2 linked regions of the Struthio camelus genome follow. The main gene of each other region encodes a partner of the protein of the gene in region 2 in a complex. Links are inferred from orthologs where the notes say so. Each region holds a gene or a part of one and is shown on either strand. Other genes may lie near its edges.

What was found.
Region 1: the proteins of voltage-gated potassium channel subunit beta-2 (region 2) and KCNA3 are in contact, whole or in part, in a cryo-EM structure (PDB 7EJ2), measured with the Homo sapiens proteins. The link is inferred for Struthio camelus from reciprocal best matches to the Homo sapiens genes KCNAB2 and KCNA3. Residues at the interface, in NP_001186789.1 of Homo sapiens: Met196, Tyr199, Ser200, Arg203, Glu231, His234, Lys235, Ile236; in NP_002223.3 of Homo sapiens: Pro133, Met137, Phe140, Pro142, Leu143, Asn145, Tyr147.

Annotation. Positions count from the first base shown.
Region 1 is NC_090965.1:4,559,957-4,574,500, reverse strand, and holds the start of KCNA3 (potassium voltage-gated channel subfamily A member 3), read left to right. Parts: upstream 1-4,547; 5' UTR 4,548-4,706; coding exon 4,707-6,452; 3' UTR 6,453-8,055; intron 8,056-14,544.
Region 2 is NC_090962.1:973,013-987,556, forward strand, and holds the start of voltage-gated potassium channel subunit beta-2, read right to left. Parts: upstream 6,537-14,544; 5' UTR 5,994-6,536; coding exon 5,782-5,993; intron 2,382-5,781; coding exon 2,338-2,381; intron 1,479-2,337; coding exon 1,441-1,478; intron 245-1,440; coding exon 165-244; intron 1-164.

The sequences.
Region 1 (14,544 bases), on a different chromosome or scaffold from region 2:
AGCGACCGCAGTTTTGGCTGCCGTCAGATGCCATTGCGACTCGCTTGGCTTTCATAGGCTGTAAATGCTCCGTCTTGCCCTGCGCTGGCCTGCTGGATGAGGGCGAATGTCATCAAACCGAAACAAGTGACATCTGTAGAATAAATAATTCAACGGGCGAGCATTCACCCCTCGCCGGCGCGACGCGCTCCCTTCAGTGGCAAGCACGACGAGTGACTGCCGCTGCCCGAAATTTGGGCTTTCGAGCCTTTACGCTGAAAGCGGATCCGTCCTGGGACTCGGCGCTGATGCCGCGGCTGCGCCCTGCTGCTAAGGGTCCCCGAAGAGCAGCCTCGGCGCCGGCCTTTGCCGTCGCTCACTTTCCCGGTAATCGCACCGTAACGCGGTCGTCGTACCCTCGCGTGGATGTTTTTAACCATCGTAATGAAAACACGGTGCCATTGCCATGCTGTCTCAGTGGATTTGTGGTTAAATTGCTTTGTCGATGTAATCTTATCTCTTAATGACAAAATAATGGCGTGCAACAGGAGCTGCGGAGGCTGCGCTGGATATCCTTTTGCCGTCATTGTGAAGGCCTGCGAACATGATCCCCATTACGGCAAAATTTGCATTAACATTGTTTGGCCAACATAATCCCACCCGGTAATCGCATTTTTTAGGGCATTAAAATAGGTCTAACTATATCCTGAGCTGTAACCCCTGGGCTCCCAAAGAGTCGGCTGGGATTTGGCCAGGACAGCTCTATTAAAGCCAACGGAGTCCCCGTTTGGCTGATGTCTTTTAGCCACCAAATCTTGTTCTTCAGTAGCAAAATGATACTCACTGGCTAAGTCCGCAGTGTCGCGGCAAAAAAAATAACATGAAAAATAGCTGCTGTCCATGCTCTGCTATTTCAGGTTAGCGGTTCGATTCCCACTTCCCTCCATCTGTTAAAAATAATGACTGCTCTCTAAAGACCTGCTGCCTTCGTTAGCCGGATTGCAGCAGTAGGAGACGAGCGTGGCGTGCTCCGGGCCCCGTTGTGCTTGGTGCCCTGAAGAGAGGCGTTCGTTATCCTTACGGAGCCTGCAGCAACGGTCCTCACCTGCGCTGACTCGCAAGCAACCAGCTTTATTTGGGCAGCACTGCATTTTGCTCCCTATTATTCAAAATTTCAGCATCTTTCTCGTTTTCTCAACTCAGGAGCGCAGCTAAGAGCCTCTGGTGAAAGATTTAAGTAGACCATAGGCAGGAGGCAAGGATTGCTCCTAATTTGCAGATGAGAAACTGAGGCACGGACGGATTCACGGACTCGCGCTACCACTGAGTTTCGCAGCTGGTGATTAAGGCAGGAACAGGAAGAGGGGCAGTGTGGTTCAGCGGTCAGAGCGCTACATTAATCCCGGGAGATGGAGATCGGGTTCCCTTGCTCTCCTGCTGCCTCGAGGGCACCGGTGGAGTTGGTTAGGGCAGAATTTGTCTTAGCCTCCGAATACGCAGAGCAAAAAAGTGGCCGAGACAGTGCAGGAGCGTTGCCACCTCCTGCCTGCCTGGGGGAGAAGGGGAGGACAGCAGAACGGGGCATCTGCAGACAGAGGTAGCCTTGGGTGACTTATTCCCCGGTTGCAGAGCAAATAATCATAAAAATTTGGGATAATCTGACTGAGAGGAACCAGCCGAAGGTTACAGTGAGGGCAAGCAGGTCGGAAAGCAGGTTGGAAAGCCAAACCTAGGCTTTGCCTAGGCTGTGATTAGTGAAAACCCGATTGAGGGAAGGACACGAGGAACCTCGGGAGCGAGTTCACGCGGTCTTGCTGCAGCAGCTGGCGCTTGGCACGTTCCCTGCGGTGGGAGGGGAGAGGACGCGTTTGCAGCGCGTCAAGATGCTGTTGCTGCAGCCTTACTGCTGAGAGGTTGCCGATCCTCGGAAATAAAGACCAGCCCGTTTGTCCCAGGTTTATCAATGGAGACGGGCTCCTCATTCAAGGGCGAGAGAGCAGAGAGCCCTCCAGCAGCCCTGTGCAGGGAGCTCCCGCTCACACCACCCGCCAGGCTGGGGCTGCCGGCAGGGGAAGGGGGGGTGTTTCTTCACCCCGGGGTGCTGCAGGTCCGCGCGGGAGCTCGGCAAGCGCTCCGCCTGGCGCAGCCTAATTGGCTTTGATGGGATTACGGTGAGGCGGCCGCAGAGTAAATAAGGCCAAGGAGGCCAAGCGGCGCCTGGGGTGGCCGGGCCAAAGCCCCCGGAGAAATCCCTTGACGGGGAAGGTTGGGGAGTGGGGCAACGCCAGGCGCTCGAGGGTTAATGCGTGTTTGGGTTGCGGGTGATGGAGGAAAGGGTTGTACCCTGCTCCCGGTTTTTGGAGAAGGGCTTTTCCTAGCAGCGCTCTCCGGATGGCTTTGCTGGCACCAATTTCCCCCGGGTTTACCCCGACGGAGATCCAGAATAAACTGTTGCAATTATGGAAGGTTGCCTCAAGCCTTTTGTCATCGATAAATGTTTATGGTATGAAAGCAGCCTTGTTTGTTTGCCTTAGACCAGATGACAGTGATTTATTGGCAGAAATCCTGGCAGAGGAAAGGGATGAGCCAGACAAGTCTTGAAGTGCTACACACATGTACGCGGTGCGCAGCTGATGGCTGTTTCATGCTCACGAAACGCGCAGGAAATAGCTCCTCGCGCTGGGATGCCAGCAGTCGTTTCGAGGAATTTTCCTGGCTTTCCTAACCTACAAGCAACGCCGGTAGCTCAAGGGTTAATGATCAGCCCAGGCTGTGCTTCCTGCCCTGTCCGGGGGCTGGGAAACTTGGGAGATGCTCCGGGTTGAAAGGGAGGAGTGCTTGCTCTCGCTGGGAGCACATCCCGGATTTGCGCTATTAATTGCGGTAGCAGAGACGGGGTGAGCGGATGGGGATCTGTTGGCCCAGCTGTCTCCTCCAAGGCCAGCTTGCAGCCTCGGATGAAACGGGCCTCCATGGATGGGGTTTAAAGCCAAGGATGGAGGTGACAACAAGGGACATGCATCAAACTCCATGGCAAGGTGCACGTCCCCGTGCAAGCAGGATCGCAGGGGACCGTCTTCGCAGGGGAGCCTGCAATTTTCCTGGTGGTGTAAAAAATTGCCATGCTGGGCATGCTGTCCGGAAAGAGCACCAGGGATGATTTTGGGAGATGCAACCGCCACGGGCGGCTTAGCCAAAGGCTCTGCTTGGCCTCGGCGCCGCGTGGGAGGCCCACCTTGTCAGCGGGACCCCCTCGGTGTGCCTAATTCCTGGGAAACCTGACGGGTGGGCGCTGATGCCTTGGGACAAAGGGTTTTTTTCCCCGCGTCGGCTCTGCCAGCGTCGGTCCGGCGTTCCCGCGCCCGGTGCGGAGCCAGCTCTGGCGGCGCTGTTTAGTGTTGATTTTCCCCCGTGCTTGGCTTCTTTTATGGCTTTGTATATTTTGTGCAGCTTGTTGCTAATTTAAAGCATAAATAAGTTTGATCTTTTCATCTGTTTCTCTCCCTACCTTCTGGAGGCTGTTCTAGTTAAAAATAACCGCGGTAATAAGCCGGAGTGGGGCTCCAATCTGCCGGAGCGCTTCTAACCTCCTTCGCAGCGGGACCACCCGGGCGACGCAGGGAAGGCGGCGCGGTCGGACCTCTCACACCTCCCTGAGCCTCGTGGCCGGGCTTCTTCCCGAGCGGGTAATTCCCTGAATTGCCCAAGCCCTGTTTGGCACGTGCCTTGGGATTAGAGGGCTTTGGGAGAGCGAGGGGTGGGTTGGGGAGAGCTCTGGGGGCAAATCTCACGGGGCCGGAGCGTTTGCACGAGCCGTGCTGGGTGCTGGTCGCCGCGGTGGAGGCTTTTCCCTTTAAAAAAAAAAAAAACCCTTTCATCAAAATTGATCGATTTGCATAAGATCAGTTCAAGGAGGTGGTGGGGGGGGGAATGAAAAGCCGTTTGGCTGGCTCGGGGAGGGGGGGGGGAAACGCTGAAAGGCAGATCTGCGTTTCAGACTGCGACTGCCTTCAGCTGCGATCCGACTGCGCTTCGCTCCTCCGCTTGTTTGGCTGCGGGGAGGCACAGGCACACACGCGCACACACACGCACGCTCTGTCTCAACCTCTCTCCTATGCAAAAAAAAAAAAGAAAAGAAAAGAAAAGAAAAGAAAATCCCTCCGACTGTAGCTGAAATGCTGATTCAAAACAACTGTTGGCTGCTCTCTGAGGCGCTGTCTCTGCTTCCCGTTAGCCGCAGCCGCGTCCCCGAAACGGTGACCCGCAGCGGACAGGCAGAGCCGAAGCGCCGGCGTTAAAAAATAAAAAAATAAATCACATTTTGGCTTTCCCCCCGGGGTGGGGGGGGGGGAAAGCAGGAAAACTCCTTCTAGGCAGCGCCGCTGCCAGGAAAAAACTCTTCCCCCCGCGCGACCGGCGGCCGCGGAGGGGAGACGCGGGGGCCGGGGGGCCGGGGGGGCCGGGGGGCCGCGGCCGGCCGGGGCGCGCTGCTGGGGGTGGCTCCGGCGAGCGAGGCGGCGCCAGGGCTGGGGGCGGATTTTTTGAGAGGAGCCTCCGCTGCTCAGAGCGGCAGCGGGCGCCGGAGGAGTCGGGCGGTTGCTTCTCCCTCTCCGCCCGCAGGAGGACGAGGAGGAGGAGGAGGAGGAGGAAGAAGAAGAGGCGCCGCCGCCGCCTCCTTCCTTCCTTCCTTCCCCTCCGTCCTGCCCGACCCCTTCTCCCCCACCTTTATGGACGAGCGCCTGAGCTTGCTCCGCTCTCCGGCTGCCTCCTCGGCCGGCCGGCCCCCGCGGGGCAGCGCCGCCAGCAGCCACCGCAACCTGGGCTACAGCGAGCAGCCGCCCGCCGCCCGGCAAGAGGAGGACGAGGGCGAGGAGGCGGAGGAAGGCAGCATGACGGTGGTGGTGGCGGGGGGCGGCGGCGACCCCTTGCCGGAGGAGCCGCAGCATCCTCACCCTCTGCTCGGCGGCGACCGCTACGACCAGCCGCCGCCGCCGCCGGGCGCCGCCGCCGCCGCCGGGCACCCCGCCGCGGGCGGCGAGCACGAGTGCTGCGAGCGGGTGGTGATCAACATCTCGGGCTTGCGTTTCGAGACCCAGCTCAAGACGCTGGCGCAGTTCCCCGAGACGCTGCTGGGCGACCCGCGCAAGCGCATGCGCTACTTCGACCCGCTCCGCAACGAGTACTTCTTCGACCGCAACCGGCCCAGCTTCGACGCCATCCTCTACTACTACCAGTCGGGCGGGCGCATCCGGCGGCCCGTCAACGTCCCCATCGACATCTTCTCCGAGGAGATCCGCTTCTACCAGCTGGGGGAGGAGGCCATGGAGAAGTTTCGGGAGGACGAGGGCTTCATTCGGGAGGAGCAGAGGCCGCTGCCCGACAAGGAGTTCCAGCGCCAAGTGTGGCTCCTCTTCGAGTACCCGGAGAGCTCTGGGCCGGCCCGAGGCATCGCCATAGTCTCTGTCCTGGTCATCCTCATCTCTATCGTCATCTTCTGTCTGGAGACCCTGCCTGAGTTCAGGGATGATCACGACTATGAGGGAACCGGGGGGACCTTTGGGACGGGTGGTGGCCCTTTCCCACCTGATGTCTTCACCAATTCCTCGTCCTCGGCTGCTTCCATGGTGTCGTCCTTCACCGACCCTTTCTTTGTGGTGGAGACTTTGTGCATCATCTGGTTCTCTTTTGAGCTGCTCGTCCGCTTCTTCGCCTGCCCCAGCAAGGCCACCTTCTCCAAGAACATCATGAACATCATTGACATTGTGGCCATCATTCCCTACTTCATCACGCTGGGCACCGAGCTGGCCGAGAGGCAAGGGAACGGCCAGCAAGCCATGTCCTTAGCCATCCTTAGAGTCATCCGCCTAGTCAGGGTCTTCCGCATCTTCAAGCTCTCCCGGCACTCCAAGGGGCTGCAGATCCTGGGGCAGACCCTCAAGGCCAGCATGCGGGAGCTGGGTTTACTCATCTTCTTCCTCTTCATTGGCGTCATCCTCTTCTCCAGCGCCGTCTACTTCGCAGAGGCCGATGACCCCAGTTCGGGTTTCAGTAGCATCCCCGACGCCTTCTGGTGGGCAGTGGTGACCATGACCACAGTGGGCTATGGGGACATGCACCCCATCACGATCGGGGGCAAGATTGTGGGGTCTCTCTGTGCCATCGCGGGGGTGCTAACCATTGCTCTCCCTGTGCCTGTCATCGTCTCCAATTTCAACTATTTCTACCACCGGGAGACCGAAGGTGAGGAGCAAGCCCAGTACATGCACGTCGGCAGCTGCCAGCACCTCTCGTCCACCGAGGAAATGAGGAAGGCTCGCAGCAATTCCACCCTCAGCAAGTCGGAGTACATGGTGATAGAAGAAGGGGGCATCAACCACAGTGCATTCAAACAGGCTACCTTTAAGACAGGCAACTGCACAACCACAAACAATCCCAACTGTGTGAACATCAAAAAGATCTTTACGGACGTTTAAAAACAAAACAGAACAAACAAACAAACAAACAAACAAAACCCTGAGGCTGCGTTGCAAAACAACAACAATAATAATGCAAAATGACTGTGTACTCAGTGTTGTGTGGAACATGCACCATCGTCGGTCCGTGTGTGCCCTTGGTTTTATACGTTTCCTTTTTTTTTAGATTGTTCCTTTCTATCGATCATAAAAAGGAGGATTTAAAATGCTCCGAAGAAAAGAGGACGGGTAAAGGGTAAAGGCGAGGAAGACGAAGGCAAAACACACTCACCCTGGAAACAGGTGTTTGTTCTGCAACGTGTGGCAGGGCTGCTTTTGTTTTCTCCTTTCTGGGGACGTCTTGCTTGGCTTCTGTTTTGTTTTGTTTTGTTTTGTTTTTGTCCTCCCCCTTCCCTAAAGGCAGTGTGTAGCTGTTTTCCCTTCCATCACATAAGCTCACTTGTTGGATTAGCAACCGCGAGTTGGGTGGGGAGACGAGAAAAACATGTTGCGGAGCTCGTTGGAAGGAGATGGGGGTTGGGAGGAAAACGACCGCTTAATTTTGCAAAGAGTCTCTGTTACCACATTGTTAAATGATGCTTAATATCGAAACATGTGGTGTGCCATTAGGGGCGCATCCCAGATTCCCTTTTCTCCCCTTCTAGATCTTTTTTGAAATTCTAATCTGGCCGGAGAGCGAGTGTAATCACTTCTGATTTAAACAGCACGAAGAAACAAAAAAAAAATTCCTCATTTTCTATTCCTAACTCCCTTCCCCTGCAACCCTACGGGATTATTGCATCCGACAGAAAATTGCTGTCCGCCCGGCGAGCGTGAGCACGGGGCAGGGGGAGACGAAAGCGCAAGATTTAACGCTCGCGGCGAGAGCCCGGGGCGCGGGGAGCGGTGCCGGCGCGGAGCCGGGGCTGGCGGCGGCGGCGGCGCGCTCGGCACCCGAACCCGCGGGAGATTTCCGCCCGGCTGCGATGCAGTCGCGGGAGCGGCGGCCGCTTCATCGCCAGGAGATAAAAGCGGCCGACGGCGCCTTGCAGCGGAAGTTGCTAATTCGGACCGGAGTGATGCAGTTGCCATGGCGACCCCGGTTTCCTGGGAAACCCCCGAAGGTTGTCATGGCATCCCGGCTGCCAGCCCCCTCGGCGGGTGCCCTTCCCGCAGCCGCCCTTCCAGACGCTTCCAGCTCCCGCGGGACGGCCGCGACGCCGGCGCGGAGCGGGTGCCGGCCCGAGGCGGGCGCTCCGCACCCGTTGCCCGGCCCGCCGACCGTCCCGCTCGGTCCACGTCCCCCGCCGCATCCGTTTGTAGGCAATAAGCACGCCAAAAGTCCACCTCGCCCCGGCCGCCCCGGCGACGCGATTTGGGAAGCGGCGTCTCTCGATGCAAACGCAAGCGCCCGCCGAGCCCGAGCGGCCGACCCACGTGCGAGCGCGAGCGGCGCCGAGCCGGGGATTGCCGCCCAGCGACGCCAACCTCTCCAAACCGCGGGGGAAACCCACGCAGCCGTAAAGAGCAGCATTGCAAAGTGCCCCAAACCCCGCCGGGGGAAACCATGCCCGCTTCATCCTTCCTTACGCGCCCGGGGCCGCGGGACGTCAGACAGGAGCAGGTGAGCTTCGCCCGCGGCGCTTAACGCCTCCTAAGGTACCATTGCTTTTTTGGGACGGACCTGATGTCTTGCCCAGTTTTGCATCCGACCGGGCTGCCCTCATGTATTTATGCGCCTGTTGGGTGGAGTGCAACAACACCCTATGTCTCCTCTGATTAACCGGCTTTTCCCCCCCTCGCCGTCGCTCGCTCCGGGCGGGCAGAAGGGGCGGCAAAGCCGCGCGGCTCTTGGCAGCCCCGTTTTCTTCCGCTGAAAAGGTTGCTGGCGGCGTTTCCGCCGCGAGCAGGGCCGACCGGTGCTCGCGGCGCGGGCTGGGGAGGCAGGGCCCCGCGCCGCGGGTGCTCGGGCGCCGCGCACCTCTCCGGCTCGGCGCGCCTTTGCCCTTGCTCTGCGGTTTCTCGCTAAGTGCAAACAGATTCCTTCGCTGTAGCGAACCGCGCGGGAACGCCGGGAGATGCCTCTTCCAACAAAAGAGCAACTAGACTCGTAACCGAGGTGAGTCACACGTTTAGCCGAGCGTGCAGAAAGGGAGGATTTGTCCCGGGGAGATCCTGGCCGCGCGGAAATCAGAGCTGAGCCGGGATTTTAGCCAGACTTAAAAGGATCAGAGCAATTCGTAACATGTAACGCTCGCCCTTAGCCTCGTCTTAGCCCCGCTGTCTTGCTCAGTTAATAAAAAAAAAAAACCCTTATAACCGAGCAAAACACCGGGGCAGCTCCTCAGCTAACGGTATCTGACAGCTTTATTGGAGCTGCAGTAGTTTACAGAGGCTGAAGATCTGATCGAATAATCTTTATTAGTTGGATGTGCTGGAGCTTTGCCACGGCGGGAGCTAGCAGGCAGCTCGCATCTCCCGGGCAGCCTTTTCCAGGGTGGCAAAGGTGGGACCCGCAGCCGGGAGACCTTTTCCGAATAACCTCCCGGCGGGTTTTCACCCGCGCCGGCCTGGCTGGGTTGTCCCGCCGTGCCTCTCGCCCCGCTTCTGCCCGTCCTGGCGGAGGCTGCGATGCTTTTGCCCGCCACGAGCTCTCGCTTCTGTATTGTTACCAAAGAGTTGACGCACCAGGCTGGTTTGGGTTTAAAAGCAGTGGAAACACTCTCCCACTCAGGAGGGTTCGCAGATGAGTTTTGCATCTGATTTTTCCCGGCGACAGCTGTACGTATGGCAGGGCTGGTATGGAAACCGCGCGTTAGCGTGTAGGTGGCATAGTACAGTCTGCAGCTCGCTGAGCCGTGCGGACACGTGCCCGGCTGCTCCTTCGCTTTCAGGGCTCCCCCTTGCCTGATTTTGAGTGCCGGACGGGACAGAAATGACTCAAGACTGGTTTTATTCACAAGGAAAAGTAGCGTACGGGAGAGACGGCGAGGAAGGCAGCGCAGCAAAAGGCCGTTTCTCGAGCCGCTCTGTCCTTAGGAGCAGCCCGCGAGCGGGGCGGCTGCGCCCGCGGCTTTGCCTTGGAGCGGGCCAGCGGCGCTCAGCCAAGCTCCTGCCTGACCTTCTCCGATCGCGATCCGAAACGGAGCGGCAGCTGGCGTTGCTTCCCCGCCTGGCGCCGCCGCCGTGCCCTCCGAAACCTCCTCCTCGTCCTCCTCCTCCTCCTCTTCCTCCTCCTCGTCATCCTCATCTTCCTCCTCCTCCTCCTCCTCCTCCTCCTCGTGGTGCCTCTGTCCTCCACCCGCCTCCTCTGCCAAGACCAAGCGACGCCGGCTCCGGCACCGCTGCGACGCCCTTCGGCTTGCCGCCTTGACGCCATCACTTTTTCAGCCCTTTTTTTGGCCTTTCGGTCCAAAACACTCCCGTTTTGCAGCCCAGTGAGCGCCGTTGGGGTGCCGTCCGACCGTGGGTGCAGACGCGAGTGCGGGCCGGGGGGATGCCCGCTGCCTCCAGGAGGGTCACGTTTCCTCCCGGGCAGTCACTGCTGCTCCATCACTTGACAAAGGAAATCTTTCTCTTATCCTCATTTTTTTCCCCAAATCCGGTGCCGCCGAGGCCCTGAGCTGCGGGCTACGGAGCGTCTTTCCAGCGCCGGGGAAGGGACTCTTGCAGCGGGCGAGCGCGCTTAGAGAAATCGGTTCAAGCGTGTAGTTTGGAGCCCTCTTCCTGCCAAGCTTTTAAAATATGCATATCTTTGGGTGAGCGCACGGAGGCTCTGAGCCCAGCCTGCTTGGAGACCAGGCTTTTTTTTCCCCCCCGCCCCGTTTTGCCTTTTTTTTTTTTTTTCCCAAACAAAAAACTAGGTGGCTTGCAGACCCGCGAGTAAAACCAGACAAATAGGATTTCAGCGGGATGACTGCATCGGGCCTTAGGTCTCGTGCTGCGCACGGAGAAGGGGAGCCGCCTAGGCAGCCCTCGCGCAAAGCCAGCGCAGGCGGAAAACAGGACTTTTCCGGGTGTTATCGGCTCTTTGTGCTGCCGCGGGGCCGGCGCTGCTCTTCCGCGCCGTTCCCCGCTCCGGGGCTGCTTGGGAGTCCGGCGCGGGGATGTGGCCGGCTGGCTGATCCCGTCGGGCTCGGTCGTGCGGCTGGAGGATGTGTTACAGGCAGGTAGCCAGGCTGCTGCTGCGTTTCCCAGTTTTCCCTAGTTTTCCCTAGTTTCACGTATATGCTGGAGGCTGCTCGAGCGCGGGGGACCCCGAAGGCAGCCGGATTGTCCCGGCCCGGGAATCGCTGCCCGGGCAGAGCGGGCAGATATCGTAGGAGGTTTCTTAGCTTCGTTTTGGGGCTTTTCCCAGCTGGAAATGGGTGAGCTGATGTGAGACGAGTTGTCAAGTTCTCAGAGCATCGTCCGGGGCCGTCCGGGAAACGATCTAACGGGGAAGAAACCCCAAAGTAACGCTCCCGCAGCGACGGGGCAGCCCGGGGCTGCTCGCGGCTCTCGGGCGGGCTGGAGGAGCCGGCGCGGTCCGCAGCGGCCGTCGGCCCCCCAGGGCTGCCCGTCCGCCCCTCCGGGACCGGGGCAACCACCCGGCTGGACCCGCCGGCCCCAAACCCGCGTGCGGGGCCAAGAGAAACCTGTGCCAGCCGGAGGGAGGATGCTTCATGGCGATTTATAGCTCTCCTGGGGCAAAAAAAGGACTGGCGTTAGGGCAGAGGAAACGGCGCAGATATACAGGCAGAGATATTGTTTAACATCGGCCAAGCGAGCTCACTGCCCAGGCGCAGAAGCGCCTGCCCGCGGCGCCTGGCTCGGCTCCAGCCGGGGCCATCGCGCCACATTTGCTGCTCTGAACCCTGCCGGCCTTGCTGCGGTCGAGCCCGGGACACAATCGAGACCTTTTACACCCGATCTTGGCTTCCCAAGCAGGAAAACGAATAATGAAAGCGATATTCATCCCACCGAACCGGGGGGCGCGTGTCTGCTGGTTTGCACTTTGGAAGGCATCGGCGCTGCAGCGCCTCTGTTATTTGTCACCGGGCTAAAGCAACTCGCATTTTTTGCTCATGAGAACTTTCCTCCCGGCGGAAGAAGGATGCACCCGAAGCCGTTTCATCACCGCCGCTGGAGCGCGAGGCGAAACCGCCGTGCAGAACGCTCCGCGGAAACCCTGCGGGAACTGCACCGCCGCCGCGTTTGCTCCGTCCGGCCTTTGAGGAAACGCGGCTCTGACGCCCGCGGGTCGTGGCAGTCCCTCTGCCTCTTATCGTTTTCACCGCCGAGGAGGCCTTGCAGTAGGACGGCGCGTGACCGTCCCCTCCAGGCAGCATCGGTTTCCTCCTTTTTCCGAATCGGGACACGCTCGAGCAAATTAAAACCTGGCTCGTAGTGCTGCGAGCCGAAGCTTCGGCGTCCCCCTGGTTGGGAGCAGCTAAAATCCTACCTATTACTGCTCTTCCCCTTTTCATAGCTCAAATAATCTCTCCCCAACCGTGTTGCGCGCTACTGTTAAGACCTCTAGGTTAGCCGTGCAGATGACAGCATGCTCTGCTGGGTTTCTGGGGGTGATTCATTTCCTTTGGCCTCGTATTGCAGGTGCTTTTCTGAGCAGCGACAAGCTCTGGCACGTCTGCTGCTTTTCTACATTGGTTGCCCTTAATTTTTAGCATCTTTGCACACACGGGAAGGCCCCGGGTTGGACGCGCAGCTCTGACAACCGGCAAAAGCCAGCAGCTAGCTTCTGCCTTGCTGTCAGGGAGCGTTAGTCCGTTTAGTTTTCCTTTGACGCTGTCCAGCCCCAGCTGCTTCGGACAGATACGGAAAATCCTTTCGGGTTGTGTCATGGTTCGATCGGCAGCGGAAGCAGGGGAGGCTGAGCCGCGCGCCGGCAGCGGGGCTCCTTGCGGCTCCTTGCGGCCCCGGGGGGCTGGCGCTCGCGAGAGCCCGGAGGTTGCAGCGGAGCACAGCAAGGACGGCCGCGCGTTCTGCAAAAGCATCCTGCCAAGATGCTTTTTTTTTTCCTGCCGGGGAGGGGGAAAAAAAAAAAAAAAGCAGAAAAATATATATTTGCTGTTTCCTTGTCGGTAGCAAAAACCGAGCTGAACGCGCTGGGGCGTAGCGGGTTGATTCTTGCGCAGGGGGATTCTTGCCACCGGCCCGTGAAAACAGGCAACTTTGCAGCACGGTGACTTTGGGAGATGCCGGCGAGGAACTGCAGCCTCTCCCGCCGGCTCTGTGTTTCGTTGTAGCCAACGGCGCTTCCCGGCGCATCCCGTCACTGCCGACCGACCCCACCGTCCCAGCGTCGGGGCCGGCGTGGAGCGTGGATCGGGAACGAAAGCGCGGCCGAACCGGCCTGCCAGCCCGTGAAAGCAAGCTGATGGATCCGCGTTTGTAGTTATTTTCGGCGATCTCTCAATCATCTGCTTTCCTGGCATTTCATGCGCCCTGTATTGGCTTTAGGGTTTCGTTTTCCAAACGAAAGTGTCACGCGAGGCCAATTCTTACAAGAGGTTATTGCATAAGCACTTCCCTTTAGCAGCCAAACTTGGAATGCAGTAAGAAGAGATCCCAAGTTAACGTGATAGGAGTACGATAAGATGCATTTCCCCTAAACCCGTGCTGACTGGCAGCAATTACATCTTCGTGGTTAGTTCTGTATTAGCAGTCTCAGCCGTGCTAGCATATTTTTTGGGATCAGGGACAGGCGGACAGGCCCGTCCTTTTGCAGGTCGCCCTGTTTATTGCTTAAAAACTTGGCGCAGCGGGAGCTGTTTTCCAGCCCCCTGGAATTCCAGCCGTTCCGGGACTTAAGGGACGGTCAAGATTAACAGCCGGGCGCGCGGCTCCGCCAGCTCTGCACTCATGCATTTGGCCGGTTTCGAGACGTCTCGCGGTGGTGGCTGCTGGTTAATGTCCTCTGCTTCTGCTGGAACGGAGGGAATTTCCTCCGGGAACACAGCTGGAGCCTTTCAGCAACCGGAGCAGCAATAGCTGTTGAACGCATCTGTTTTTTTTGCCCTGCTGCTTGGTGAATTCAGGGAGCTAATGGCATCGGGACAGTTTGAGGATTTGGGTTTTCTTCCCCTTTACCAGCGCAGTGATACGCAGCTTCCGAAAACGGCATTGGGGACCCAAAAGCACCGGAGGCTGGTTTGGAAACGCTGCTCCAGGCTGGTGCGGATGCGGCCGGATGCTCCGGCTCGTGGATTTGCCTGCGCCCCGTGCGTTAGCTGGCGTTGCATTCGCAGAGCCCGCGCGCTGCCCTTGCCCGCAGCCGAACGGTATTTCCCCAAATGCTCTGCCCGGGGCCGGGCCCGCGCAGACGCTCAGGGGAAGGCGCTATTTGGGTTTCGTTTTGTGTAATGCTATAATGATGCTGGAGGATGCTGGCAATTTTACCACCGATTTGCAGAAAAGCAGGAGCGCGTTCCCTGCCGGGCAGGTGCGTGTGCGAGGGCTGTAATCTCCCTCGAAAGCCCAGCCCAATGCAGCATAAACCCTGCTTAACTTTAAGCGCACGAGCAGTCCTTCTGGCTCTTAAAGATAAGCCTGTACTTGAGCAGCCTGCCGGCCTGAGCCCCGTGCAAGCAGCGCTAAGCTCGTTTTCCCCCCCCAGCTCTGCGCTGCTTCGCTTCTCGCAGGAAATCCCACTTCTCTCCCTTTCCTCCGCCTGCTTTTCTCCTTTTCTTTACCCAAGAGCTGGTGCCGCCGCGGGGCTCTTCCCACCTTGTGTATCCCCAAGCCGGCTCTGCTCCGGCGGGAAAAGGCTGGGTTGTTGCGTTTTTATTTTGTGACGACGGGCGAGCTGCGGGCGGGCAGGGCTCCGTATCCGCGCTGGGCTCCGGAGCGGCGCCGCGGGTCCTCGCCGCCGCTCGGCACCGGCTGCTAACGAAGCATCCGGCGCGCGCAGCCTGATCCGGTGGGAGCGCTCCTCTCGGCAGCGTGCGCCCCAACGCGAGGTTGAGCATCCTTGATGAAACCTCCATCCGTTCATTTTGGAGGCGCCGCTTGAAAAACGCCCGCCGAGGGGCTGCTGCCGGCGCGGGGGCCAGGACGAGCCCGGGTTTTGCCGGGCTCCGCTCCGGCCGGGAAGATGCTCCGGTTGGGGAGA
Region 2 (14,544 bases):
CTTATGAGCAAATCAAAAATGCTGCAGGACAAAACACAGGATGGGGCCCTCGGTGAGCAACGGGGGAAAGCCCCAGGAGGAAGACTCGTCCCAGGCTTGGACAGCATGCTCCCATTCACCAGAAATACAGTCCTTGCCCTGGTACCAAAGTGGAAGCTACTTACTTGCCAGCAGCATAGACTTCTGCTGTATCAAACAGATTAATGCCATTGTCATACGCTAAAGTCATCAGCTGCTCTGCCATCTGCAAAGAGAAATCTGTGATGTTGGTAGAGAAGAGGACGTCTAACAGAGAGCAGGGGCAGAGCACTGCGGTGCCATGCTCGCTCATACTGGTGACCCGAAACATGCCGCATGCCGAGTGCTGTCCATGGAGTTGGATCTGAGACCGGCCTCTAAACGTGCAGCTTGATTTTAGAGCTTGATTTAGAAAGCCCCAAATTGCCAAACAAGCAGCCTTGGCCGATCAGTTATGTGCTTACCTTTAGAAAGCCAGGCTTGGAAACGCCAGCCTCTGTGTCCAGGCACGAGGCACACAGGCGTACAGTACAGCAAAACTTTCAGGGTATGTTTGGTGACGTAAGGAAGACAGCAGCTTTGAAGGAGAAAAACCCAAACTCACGCAGCAATGTGATTTTTTTCTCTTTCTCCTCCTGCTTTCACAGTCCCAGGCTCAGAAAAATGATTTATATGGGATTAATTTGAACTCAAGCTGACATTTGATAGCTCAGGAGAAACACGGTGTCAGGTGTCTTGCTGAACAACTGACTGTGCTGAAAGGAGCGCAGGAGGGATCCTGAACTGCTGTGCTAATCGGAATTACAGATGGAGAGCAAACCTGAAGCCTGTTACTAAGGGCGGGTGAGACCTTGTGCGTCTTCTGCCTCACAGAGAATGGACTCATGCAAAACCGGACGGCTCACAGGAGATGCATGCTCTCAAACACATGTGTGACGGAGCGAGCCGGGCCGCTTTCCCTACCGCTCGCTGGGAACAGAAGTGCCGGTTACCTCCAGCTACGTTCAGCCCGGTATATGTTTAAATCACTTCAGAAGTGACAAACAGTTTTGGCAGGTCAGTGTTCAGCAAAGGCAACGCTGAACTCAGTAGCACTGACCCCGGGGCGGTCTCAGCAAGGCCGGGCCGAGGGCTCGCACGCCCTGGTACGACTAAGCGAGGAAAACAATGCACTGCAAGTCCTGACTGCCCCTAGCTGGAACAGAAATCTGGAGAACAATTTCCTCCTTTCTTGGCTGCAAAGTGCTTGGTGACCGCTTTACTATGCCCCGAGCAGACAGTAAAGATAAATGCGTTATGGTAACTGCTATGAAACCATGCAAAAGAGGACAGTCTCCAAAGCTGCTTTTTAAAACAAATGTTGAGAAATTAAAGGAAAGGTCAACCTGCGGAGTAACACGATGCGAAGGGAGCAATACTTACCTCGTCTGTAATCTGACCTCCGAAAGTCACCCATGTCCCTGTGAAGGAGAAAAAGGGCACAGAGCTGGACAAGGGCAGCACGAGACCCAGGTCGAGCTCTGCTGCAGCCAGCAGCCTCGCTCCGCGAAGGGGCGCCCGCGGGAGGCCCATACCGGCCGGCACTGGGCGCCCGCCGCCCAGTGGGACCCGCTCCCCGCGCCGGCCCGCTGCAGGGTTATCGCAGCACGGCCCCGGCTCCAAATACAGCACGCCAGAAAGCAGCTCTGCCAAATACTCCTAATTTCACCTTCTATTATGTCGAGGAGCGGGGGGAAAAGAGGAAACAATTTGACAACTTCTGGGCCGTTTCTCAAAATTATCACCAGCCCAGAAGAAAATCCTTTTTATCTTCTGCAGAATGCTTGATAACATTTCAGTCAGAGAAAGAGATTGTCACCACTGACAGTTTCATAATTGTAAATCATTTTTTTTAAGTAAGTGGCTTGCTTACAATGGATGAAAACCTGTCTAGGTGTTTAATCCTGCACAGTGCAAGTTCCTAGATAGATTTTCAAGTCAGAGGCCAGGCCAGTCTTTGAGGGCACTATCCACACCGCTGTCCTGAGCAGAGAGGAGTGTTCAGGGTGAAGCAGAAATTTTTGCTTAGAATTAGTTACTGTGCGCAAGGAAACACCAGGCTGACAGCTGATGCATGCTTTCTCTGACGCCCAGAACGAGCAAGCTCTGCACGCGCTGAGGTGGCACAGCCCGCCGCCTCTCCCTCCCGTCACGGCGGCTGCGTCTCCCTCGAACGGCAGGAGCCGGGGCAAGGCGAGGAGCAGGCGCCTGTCTCGGCCGCTTGAGAAAGCCACCGGACGGAGCAGATGCTAAAGGGCCGCGGAGAAGCCGGTCACTTACCCAGGCCAAGGCAGGACACTCGCAGCCCAGATTTCCCAAGATTTCTGAAAGACAGAAGCCCATCTGAATAGCAGCCGGGAGTGCTCGAGACAGCGTCTAGGTGTCAGCATGCACGCGAGCGGGCAGGCGCCTGGCGCAGGGCTGGCTGCGGTCCCGGCCCCGTGCTGGCCACTGCACTGCCGCGGGCCCGCCGCTGCGGTCCTGGCGCGGGGCAGGGCACCCCGGGCACGCGCCCAGGGCACCTGCGGACGCTGCTCGCGTTTCCGCGCTGCCTCGGCGCCGGGCGGCTAACCGGAGCAAAAAAGCAAAGCAGAAACGAACCCCCCCCGCAAACCGGGAAGGCAAGAAATGAACATGCCAGAGAGCTGCGGTAAGGATGGAGAGAGAGAAACATGGCACAAAACCACGAGTACTCTGGATTTAGATGCTATAGCAGAAGTGACCATAGGAAGGGAGGACCAAGAAGATTCAGGTTATGTCTCTAAACCCCATATTGTGCCTAAACAATTGAGGCATTTATTTTCAAATAGGAAAAGAAGAGCGAAGAAAGGAGAAATAGCTGAGCGCAACTGAGGCCACCAAGCGCGAACGCAGGCTTGCTGCTTCACTCCTGCACCGAGGCAAAGCTGCCTGACGCTGTCACCAACCAGAAGGCAGAAGGGGGAAAACAAAAGAAAGGGAAAGTAGATGCTGCTTCTTAGAGAGCCAGTTACTGTTGGCTGAACACGGGCACACCGACAGAAACTGGCTAACCTCACAAGAGCCTATCTGCCGAGCAAGCGCAGAGGGGACCGACCAGCCTCTTAACACAGTTTTTACAGTGCCTGCTTCCCTGTACCTCTAAGGTAAGGGCGCGCGGCACAGGCACAGGCTGCGGGCCGCCGGGGCGGCCCCGCGCGCACCGCGCGCCCCGCACGGTAATTTGCTGTGGCAGCAGCCGGTGACCTCATTAAATCTGCTTTATATGATTAGGTCAGAAGTACTACACTGTTCGGCTATTTTCTGACAGCAGCTTTACAACGCTGGTGCTAGCACTAAAACCGACAGCGCACAGCGCGTATCCAGGCGAGACGGGAATAATCACGGGGGAAAACAGTAATGCCCAGGAACGCCTCCGCCGGCAGGACAGGCTGCGTGCAGAAGAGGGCGGCGCACGCGCGTTCGGTGCCCCACGCGGAGGGCCGCGAGCAGAGCCCTCTCCAAGGGCTTACCCGGCCCAGCAGCAGCCGGCTCTGCCCGACGCAGCGGCCCCAGACCCCGCCGAGCGCAAGGGGAGGAAGAGGGCGACGCGGGCGGCCGACGGCGGTCAGGTGCTCTGTGCAGCCCCAGACATTGCCCTGCTACTGACCCCAGCGGCTCGGACACCCTTCGATCCGGCCGAGACCAGGAGCCAACAACCTGCGCCTGACAGCGCAGCAACTGGGGCGACTCACGTGCGAAGCGAGTTGTGCCCGTTCTCAACGGAGCTCTGCTCTGGGGCAGCCCGCTCCCAGCCCGGCACGGACACGCACCGCCGAGCCCCACGCTCTGCGTCGGGCTCGGACACAGCCCTGGGGACCTGCCCAGTGCTCTCCAGGTGCTGCTAATGGTGCACCTGCACCGCAGAGCAGCTCGCGAGCAGAAAAATCCCTTGAGAGCGGAGCAGTTGGCCAAGAAAAATGAAGCGCCCTGTAAAATAATTAAAATGAAGCTGGCGCACAGAGCTAGAGAATATTCTTTTGGGAACGAGTCCAGCCTGGCAGATGTCCTTTCCGCCTTTGCCACAGTGATTGATAGCGAGTTTGAAAAATCACAAAGGTTCGAACAACAAGCATGAAAATACATAAAGTGTAGGTGAGCTGCTGCAGCCGCCCGCGCGCGCGGCTCGGCACAGCGTGGCGTCGCATAGCAACTGCAAGGCGGCTCTGCTCGCGGTCCTCCGCGCGGGGCACTGCCGCCCGGCTCCCGCGGGGCGCGCGCCCCTCGCGGCCCTCCCCAGCTTCAGGCCTCTCGACGCTTGCCGAGGTGAAGGCCGACCCTTCCAGCAAGGCCAGTGTACCGCAGGCCAGTGGAGGTCTTGCTCTCCGATGAGTATTGAGAGGGATTAGCGCAGGGAGAAGGAGCTGAGCGGGAGAGTGTCCATGCAAAGTCTGCTCTGGTGGAACGCGGCCATCGAGCAGAACCGCCAGCGCCGCCCAGGCCCCTCCGGAGCAGGGCAGGCGGGCCGGGCGCAGGGGTCGGGGCGGCCCGGGGACGCCTCGGCGCAGGGCGACCCACCGCGCTTCGCTCGGCGACGCCTTGGGCGCCTCGCTGCGCGCTGGCCGGCAAGGGCTGCGGGCGACACAGCCGACGGCGACGGAGCCAGCCCAGGCGCGGGGCTGCTTGGCAAGGGGCAGGAGAAAAACGCTCTGCCCTTCCGGATGAGAACGGGGCTGCGGGCACGGGCGCTGCCTCGGAAGCACTCTGTCTGAGCACCGCCTGTTCCCCCTTTAGCAAAGCGGCCTGCCTTGCGGGGGGCCGCGCCGGTGCGCTGCGAGCCCTCGCTGCAGGCCCCCGAGGCCCGCGCGCCCCGAAGCCCTCCCGCGCGGCGCGAGCAAGGCAGCGGGACCCTCCCTCGAGAGGGACAAGGCAAATCCGAGCCCGATGAGACGCCGGCAGAGGACTGCCAGGAAGAAAAGGCCTGAGTTATTTAATTTGAAAGATGACAGTGGGTGATAGCTGATCTCATTCCAGCAATCTGCCTGCCTGATACATTTTGCATCCCGATACTGTTTACATCTTGCCTTAAGTGGGAACAGGCAGCGGCTATTAGCTGTAACATGGCATACGTGCTAATCTATTTGGGGAAAAACCCTCAGTCCCCCGCCTTGGCATCGCTCTGCTGCAATGCCATGGAAGCGGGCACATTAACCCAGCGTGTGCTGGCCGTGCCACCGTGTGCACACGGCGTTTTCAAATGCACAGTGCAGAGACAGCAAGCGAATACTGGCTCGTGTTATACTGCACGTGGACCGGGGCTCCACGCAGCCCGGGAGCGCGATGAAACCATCGATGCTGCTCCAGGCCGTGAACCACTGCGCGTTGCAGACCTCCCCCGGAGGCCACAGCCTGCCCGCTCACAACAGGCTAGCAAAGCCACAGGGGTTTTACTAAATCCTAAGCCAAATGTCAGGGTCACGTTTTTTCTCACATTCTACGGGTTTTATGTTACGCTGGACGGAAACAAGAACGCTACTCGGAACTGCAGGGAAAGGAGAAAAAGAGCCACCTGGAAGGCATGCAGCAGCGCAGAAGGGTGACCACGGAGGACGGATCGGCACCTGTGGCACCAGAAACCCGCACGCCAGCAAGCCAGCGGGGAAGCACCACACGCCTCCCCCCGCAGCGTACACACCGCAGCGAGGAAGGCAAAATGCATCCGAGGAAGAAGTAAATCTCCGAATGAAGAGCACGTTCTTCTCCTACCTATATTTCATCCCCGGCTGCTTCACGCTGGAGTCACTGGACGACGGGGCATTTTGCACCGAGAGCTGCCCCAGGCTCCGGGCAACCATGGCCACAGCTCGAAATTTGCTGCGCGTGCCGAGGCTGGGACTGCTGGCATTTTGTCTGTTCAGGCGGTCTTCTGCACTCCGGCTCTTTATACTGTGCTCAGAGCACACAAAAGAAACCTGCATGGTGCTCGCGCTGTATCTGGGCTGCCAAGACGCCCTCCCTCTTTAACACTCAGCCGCGCTCTACTTCACAGCCCAACGCTGCTTCTCCCTGCAAGCGCCGCAAAATGTCAAAGGTGAAAAATAATTGGCAGTGTGTTCCCCCAGGAAACTTGAAAATTTCAAAGCAAAAGCCAAGAAACGAGCAGGAGATGTTGCTCCTCTGGTTTCAGCCTTCTCTTTGGATGTGCAGGGCCGCACCGGCAGTCGCCCGTCCGAGGGTTAAAAAGCAAACTTCAGTTTATTTACTTCCCGGCTGGAATTTGCATGCTGTCCTTTGCTTCCTTTCCCCCATCCTTGACAGCGCAGCCTGACTGGTCTCTGCAGCAGCTCCACAAAGTTTCGCAGATGCTATTGGAGGAATTTTGCCGCCCCTGAGCCCAAAGAAACGATTCACCGGACTGTGTTTCTGCTGAAGCGGCAAGTTCCCCCCCGCGGCGGCAGGAGTCCCGGGCAGGCCGGCCGCGCAGCGCCCCGCGGGCCGGCGGCGCTGCCCTCGGCGGCCTCGCGTCGCCCGCCGCTAGCTGCGCCGCAGGGGGCCCGGCGCCGCGGGCGAGTGGCCGCGCCGGCCAGCCTGCCGAGCCCCGACGGCCGCGGGTGGCGGGGCCGGCCCCCGGCGCTCCCTCTTCCCTCTCTCCTCTTCGCTCCTTCCACTCGCGCGGCTGAAGATACAGCGAGGAATAATGACAACAGCCTAAATTTAGCCGGCAGCCGCTCTGAAGCAGGGACCTCCTCCCCGAATGTCTGTAAAGCTTCACTTACCCAACATGACTGCTGCGGCGCTAGAAGAAGAGGACCCAGCTTATATCATCAGCTTCACGCCATCAATATTTGATGAGCGTTAGGACGCAAATAAACAGTGTCACGCCAAGAGGAGTAGCAGCAATATGACCACTTCCAAGAGGGGAGGGAAGGGCTCCACGTTGGGAACCCTCACATTTCCCTTCGCTTCCACAGCAAGCGCCTCCTTTGTGCAAGGCAGCTGGAAAATCCCCGTATTTATTTGCCTCTAACTTGTCTTTCCAAATCTGCCCTCCAACGAGAGGTGCTGACGGCGGTGGACTTGCAGCCGGGACGAGGCGCGAGGTCTGCTCGCGCGGCGGTGGGCAGCGCAGGGCTGCGTGCAGCCGCCCCGCAGCGCAGAAGCGTAACCCTGGGACATGCCCCAGTACTCCCGCTGCAGCCTGGGGCAGCGGCCTGTTTTGTGAAACCAAACTAGACGGCACCACTTTGTGATGTGACTTGAGTGAGAGAGCTACATTGGCTAAGGAGAAACCAAATTCCAACTTCTCCTATTTAAAAAATGACACAAACTCATTTTTCTAATTGACTACTTTGTGATTTGAGGCATAACATCTGAACGCTTGGTTACACGCTCTAAAGATTTTCCAAGTCCCTGTTCTGCCCCCCGGCCCAGAATTTCTGCCGGAGCAGCTGCCCGCCCTCGCTGCCGTCCTTGCAAGGAGCACATGTGCAGCGCTGCCTCTCAGTAAAGAAAGCAGCTTCAGCGGTCAGGAAATAATTGTTTGATCAACCACACAGAAAAGGAAATACCACAACAGCATCAGGCTGAATTGCCGGTGTAATGGTATACATTGATTCCTAAAGCAGCATTACAAAAGAAAAATTAGTTGGTGTTGCTGGGGGGATGTGGGGGGGGGGAAATTACATAAATTCGGTCACAGACGAAATGAAAAAACTTGTAATCTACTCATGTTTCCTTCTGCCCCAAAGCTCCTTAGTGCCTGCGGCGGAGCTCGGTAATCCCGCTCAGTTCCTGCGGCCCCGCTGCAGGCTCCAGCTCTTCCGCAAGCGCTTTGCCCACTCCTGAAGGCAGCAAGGAAACCCAGCAGTGTGCTGTGGCCGCGGAGGGCCACGTTTCCAGGCTCGGCTCGGCTCGGCTCGGGGTCCCCAGCTGAGGGCCAGCTCTTCTCATGGCACGGGACACAGCACATACTGGCGCTCTCAAAAGGCAGAATTTCTCCCTGAAAAGGTATTCCTGTTTGGCTCTTTCTCTCCCTCCTCGCCTCCAGCCCATCCATCCCCGGCAGCTCTTCAGGGAGCAGCACGACAGGGGCAGCCTGGCAGGGCACCGGAGGGCGAAAACGGGGTCAGGCATTTTTGCAGCCGCCGCTCCTGATGCACCCGCGCGCATTCAAGGAGCAGGAAAGATCCCCTGCCCCAGCCAGACGCCAGCAGCGAGCACTCATCTGCCTGCAACCTTTCCGTGTTTGCAGAGAAAAGCAGGGAAAACATCCCTGATCCCAGATTAAAGTTCCTTGCAGAAGGTTTCAGCTGAAGCCCCCAACCAAAAGAAAAGCCGCAATTTTGCAGTAATAGACTCAGCGGTCCAAATCCTTTTCTGGATTACAGCACTGCGAGCCCATAGCAACACGGCTCAAGGGAACAGCACGACAGCGCCGTAAATCCCCACGGGGGGATGTGGGGAGAGCGGCACGTTCAGCACTGTGCCCTTCACCCCCTTGGCACGAAACGCTCGCGGCACCGCCGCAGCAGGCAGCAGAGGGGGCGGCAGCGCCCGGCAGAGAGCGTGCCTGCGAGCCGGCCCACGGCCCCCGAGCCGCCGCGGGCCCGGGCAGCATGTCCCGCGTTCGAGGCTCCGGGCGAGCCTGGGACACGCTGGGCTGCTCTGCAGGCCAACCACCTACCTGATCTTTCTGGTCAGCTTCAAGAATTACCTATTACCACCACATCAGGTTTTGCATACAGTGATGCTTTGTTAGAGAAACAAGCCAAATTCTGCCTTTTTCCATCAGTGTGTCATTACCGAGCGAGACGGGAGCGCAGGCCGACGCGGAGAGGCTGTGACGCGGGTCGGAGCAAGCTGGCGCGGTGCCGAATTTGCAGAGCCCCCCCCTCCCCAGTCTCAGCTCACCCAGCGAAAACCCACTGCCCCGAGGAGGCTTAGTGCTTCCCTCGGCGCGGGCTAAGCCGCGGCACAACGCGGGGGGATTTTCACAGCGTCAAGCCGCTCGGTGACGTCCTCCCCCGCGCGAGCGAGGCAGCTTTCGGAGGAAGGCTGTGCCTCTGTGCGCCGCCGGCACAAAGCCGAGAGGTGCCGCGCGGCGAGCGCTCGCGGCTCCGTCAGCCGGGAGGGCAGGTCGCGGCGCCTCTCTCCTCCCGTGCCCGGCAGCCCCGGTCGCTGCCGCGCTGAATGTTTCACTGAAGGAATATCTTCGATAGTGCACGTACAAGCCTCGCCCCATGAATAAATAACTGCCCCATGAATATCAAATGGGCTATTGTGACTGCGGAAATGTTACCTCCGTTTATTTTTAGAGAAGAAAACACATGGGAGCCCGACCTGCTGCGTGGGCGACTGAGGAAAGCCAGGAAGCAGGCAGAGCCCCGCAACAGGGTGCACGCAGCGGGGTGCACGCAGGGAGAGCCCCGCGGTGGGGTGTACACCGTGCACCCCTTCAGCCACACCACCCTGACAGCACCTAGCCACAGGGCTCGCAAGCCAAGGCTGCTCCCAATATCACCCACTCTAACAAAGATGTAGTAATTAAAAGAACAAAAGTCAGCTGAAATATTTACATGCCTCTCACTACACCACGTTCTGGACCAGCATGCAAAATTAATGGAGCACCAGCTGGCTTCATGCTTGGAGACGGTTTTCCGGCTCAACATGGTATTTTCTCAGCTTGCTTTCCCTCCCGTGTGTCGGCGTTTACTCTTCCAGCCAACTGCAAAGCAGGGAGAGGGCGCAGAGCATTCAATGCACATGGCAAAATCCCCCAGCAAAGTCTTTTAAAATCAGGCCTTTCAAGGTGACGCTGAGAGGTGTTTGAAACCTGAGCTGAGCAACGCGCACGAGAGCAGAAGCTCCTACGGGCAGCCGCGGTCAGGGAGAGGCGGGCAGGCGCCGAGGGCGGGCGGCCCTGCGCCGGGGCCTCAGCACGGAGGGGGCCCAGCTTGACAACTGCCGCAGCAGCCTGAAACATTCCCGGTTTAAGAGTGTAGAAAAGCTGCTCGGGTGGGCAGGTGAGTGCACTGACATAAGCCAGCCTGGAAGATGTAACCATCAGCATATCTGCCCCACAGCAGGGCTCTCCGCTTATCCTTACGCTTCTAAAAGCCAACCTTACTCAGCCTCCCAGGGCGGTGAGCCGCAGATGGCCAGTCACACCTGACGCTCCAGGAGACGCACAAAAAACAGTAAAAAGCCTTTCAGACCAGGCCTAAAGTGGTGCAATATTTTCCCCCATATACTCTGCATACAAAGAACTTCAGTCAAGAGTTGATTGCGCTCTCTCTGATGACTAGATGGATAAAGTATTTTTGTAGCTGTTTAACTATTTTATCGTTAGAAAGGTGAGAGTGTATTATATTTGCACTTGCAAACTTCCTAATAACACTACAACAAACAAAAAGTTTAAAGAATTTAATCAATAAAAGTGATATAAGCATGTTGATTTATTCTAGCCACTTACATGTGCACAAAAAGAGAAAGAATATTCTCCCTTCAGTGGCCTCGAAAAGATTTTATCGTACTCAAGAAGAAAAAAATGCTCTTGGACACTTCACCTGTGCAGCACCAGTAAGTCATATGCAAAAAGGAGAGCTAAACAGAAAGGCACAGTAAGCTGAAGGATCCCGCCGATGCCCTGCAAGTTGCATCGACTCCTTTGCTGTTCGCTTTGTGAGATTTTGATGCCAACAGTTTTAGTTCATTCTGACCCCAACATGTCATAGCAAAAAAGCAAAATCCTCCATCCAGTCTGTCCTTTCTCCAGCTTAGGTATAAACACCTAACGGTCTCCGGCATCCCAGGAGCCTCGAGACGCCTCCGCACGAGGGGACGCCAGCACTTCTGAGCTACCAAAACACAGGTGCTCTAGGGATTTACGTGCCTTCACGCTTTGTTCAACATGTTAAATATCACGGGCAGGGCGCGTTTGCCCTTTTATAACGATTCTGGCACTAGCTTTTTGATGCCCCCCCAGCTTGAAAAGCGTCTGAGCTGCTGCTTTCCGCGGGCGCGCGGCGGGAGCCGGGGGAAGGCGGTCTCTTACCTATACTTCATGCCCGTCAGGCGGGCTGTGCAGTCGTCCAGCGACAGCCCGTGCGCTCGCAGGAACTCTTCCATGGTCTTGGCCTGCGCCGCCAGGCGCACGTCCCGCAGCCGCCGCAGCTCCCCCACGTCGGCGTGGCGGGCCTGCTGCAGGCCCCAGTCCGAGTGGTGCCTGCTCACCACGCTGCGCAGGCTCTCGCTGTACGTCATGGACAGCATCCTGCTGCCCGACCGCGGGACCTGCGGACGGCCCCGATGGCAAACGCTCAGGGGAGCTGGCGACAGCCCTGTGCCCTCCGGGAGCTGCAACGCGGTGCCTGCGAAAACCCCTGACTTCCTACAGAGGACACAAATGCTCAACGCTCTCGGGCCCAAGCACGCAAGGAAGCTAGCCGGGTCACTGCTTCGGCACACGGCCTCGCCTCAGCACCCCGAGGACGCTGCCCCGGCGCACGACCTGACCTTGCAGAGAGACTAGCGAGGACCTACTGGCAGGCCTGCCGTGGGAAAACTGCAGGAGCAAAAGACCCCGAAGATAAATGGCAACACAACGTACTTAAGCAGAACGAAAGAAGTCAGAGAAAAGCCAAAGAGCAACAAGAGCGGAGCACAGAATACAGCAGCAGGGAACAGAGGAGTTAGTTACTGCCGGGACTGAAACTTGGGCTTACACTGACAGACAGCTGAAACTACGGGAGGCATTGGCACAAGGCCGGCACGCTCCGATGCGCCGACTCCCTGAGAGACTCTCGGCACTCTGCCCCAGAGCCACCGCGAGGCTTCCCACTGCCTGCCTGGGAGAAGAGGGTCTCCTGTGGCACGGGGGCACCGACTCGCCCCGACCACACCAGCTCTGCCTGCAAGGCACAGGCACGCCGGCGGTGGGCCCCAGCAGCTCTGCCTGGCCGCGCCGGGTCGGCCCGGAGCCCGGCCGAGCCGCGGCCGCAGCCCGGCCACGCGCTGGCTCCAGCCTGCAACTGGGCTGCTCAGATTGCGTTACGGCTCCTCTGCCTGGCACCCCTGATCTGCGAGGCTCGGCTGCCTCCTGGCTTGCACGGAGCTGGCTGCAGTCGGTTTGCATTTTCTTACTGAATCAAGAGCAAAGGGCACAAGGGTGGCTCAGCTGGGAACTGGCTGGCTTCGAGCAAGCAGCTGGAGGCAGGAGGAGCCCTGCTTGGCCAAGCCTCTGCCGGGGCTGTGCGCTCTGCCTCGTGCCCCGGGGGCCGCGCACCCAGGGACACCGTCACCCGTGGGTGCTGGCAGCACCCGCCATGTGAGCGCTGCAGCAGGCCGCTGGGGAGCGCGCAGCGAGCGGGCCGCCCGTGTGGTCGCCGGCCACGTCCCGGGAGAAGGCTGGCGTTCGTGCAGCAGACTGCTGCAATCCATGCAGCGAGCCAACCCTCGCCGCAGCGGCGCATGGCACCGAACCACGGCATCGACTTTCCAGCTGGTGCGGGCAGCTGAAAATAGCCTGCTGCAGAGCGAGCTGCCGGGAACGGCTGGAGACAAACCCCTGCTCTGTGGCGACGGGCTGGACTTCCGTGGGCGCTGGGTGCCTGGAAGAAAGGGCATTAGCTTTCCTCTGCTGCTCTGCAACATCCGCTGCTCCTAGCGTCTGCAAAGGGACAGGGGACCTAGGCCCAAGACACGGATTGTGCCCAGGCAGCTCTGGCGTCTGCGGCCCCTTGGCTTTGGGGGAGCGCCTCCTCCGCCTCGGGGACGCCGTGGGGACGCCAGCCGGCCCGTGGCCTGGAGAGCACCGGCCCCAGCGCCGCGGGCCTCGGGGCGCAGCACGGCTTCGTCGGGCTCGCCGGCACTGCGGCAGGGCTGCACCCTCGCTGCCCGTCCTCAGCGCGGCGCCAGCATCACCAACCCCCACCGCAAAGCGCTGCTGCCGCTCGAGCTTTTTGGTTTGGGGACTTCTGTGCCCTGCGAAACATGTAGCTATCAGAAGCTCAATTTTATGGTAGTTTGACTGAAAAGCAAAGTGCACTTTTCCATCAAAATGAGACCTCAAAAAAAAAAGGAAGAAGAAAAATCAATAGACATTAACTTACAAGAAATTACTGAAAACCCCCAAGGAATTCTGACAATAAACAATGTTTTTGGAAGTCTTCTAGAACGCTTCCTATTCAGGAGAATAACGTGGTAAGCGCCTTAAAATTTAAAGTGCTGTAAAAAAGAGAGACTGCGTTCCTGAAGCCAGGAGGAGGGGGGGAAAAAAGCACCAAGTGTCTCGCTCCCCCAGCTCCTTTGCGATCCCAGCAGGGGCCATGGCAGCTCCGAGCGGCCACGGGGAGGAGCACGGGGCACCGGGCTGCCGCGCTCGCCCCGCACCTCCCGCTGCCGCTGGCACGGAAGCCCTGCGCCGGCACCCTGCGCTCCCCCTCGGAGCGCCTCCGCGGGCACCCGAGCCCCCGCGCCACGGCATCCGGGCTCTGCGACGGCTCTGGAAAATCAGAGACTACCACACGCTGCTGCGCGTTCAGCTTACGGCTTCATCTCTCTGCGGTGAACTGCAGGAAGCGAGACGAGGGGGGCTGAGCTGGCGGGCCCTGAGGAGCCGGGCGCTCACGAACTGCACGCCCCTTTCTGCCACCTCTGTGGGAGTTTCAGCTCAGCGACATGACCAGAGAGCAGAGAGAGCATAAAGCCTCTGGGTTCATCCACGGGCACTTTATTAACAAAACCTTTATCATAACTGAAGAATGAGAAGCAGGATTTCAGCTCGGGATCTAAAAAAGCTGCTGAAGCCTAAACAATAGCATGCCAAAGCAGGGGCCGCTGTTTCCGAAAGAAGGACCACGCGCCTGAGATAATTCCTCAAGGAGTTCACAGAGCAGACGCCTCTAAAAGCTCACACATCCCACCACCAAACAACTCTATTTTCTAGGTCACAAGAGACAACTAAACACCAAAACTCCTAAAACACACAACACACTTCAAAGGTAGAACAAGTGGGTGATGCTTTGGCTTGTAGCCTATTTTGAAATGCAGTTTTCCAACCTGAGCAAACTACCAGCTGCTGCCTATTGATCGAATTACAATCTTTTGATTTTCTAGAAGGCAAACATGGAACTTGTCCTCAGTCAGCAGTTTACATTTTACAGCCTATCTTCCTTAAAAGAAAAAAAAAAAAAAAGACACACACACACACACACACACACACACACACATCAGCCACGCAAATGCTGAGTTAACTTGAGCAGTAAATCTTCTCAGCTACCCGCCTGCCAACAAAAGCTGCTGTAAAGTTAATCTGAAAAGAGGAAAGAGGTCCTAAAGCTGGTTCTTTACTACCCACTGAAAGTCCACAGGCAGACAAACCTCAGCCTGACACAGAGCAGCTGTGATAACCCTGGCTCCAGAATTGGACTTATTTCTCATTTACCTCCAGATGGAGAAGAGACACACTCAAGAGCTCCTTCCTTCCGCCAGTGGAACAGGCACTGTACTTAAAGCAAACACCAGGCTCTA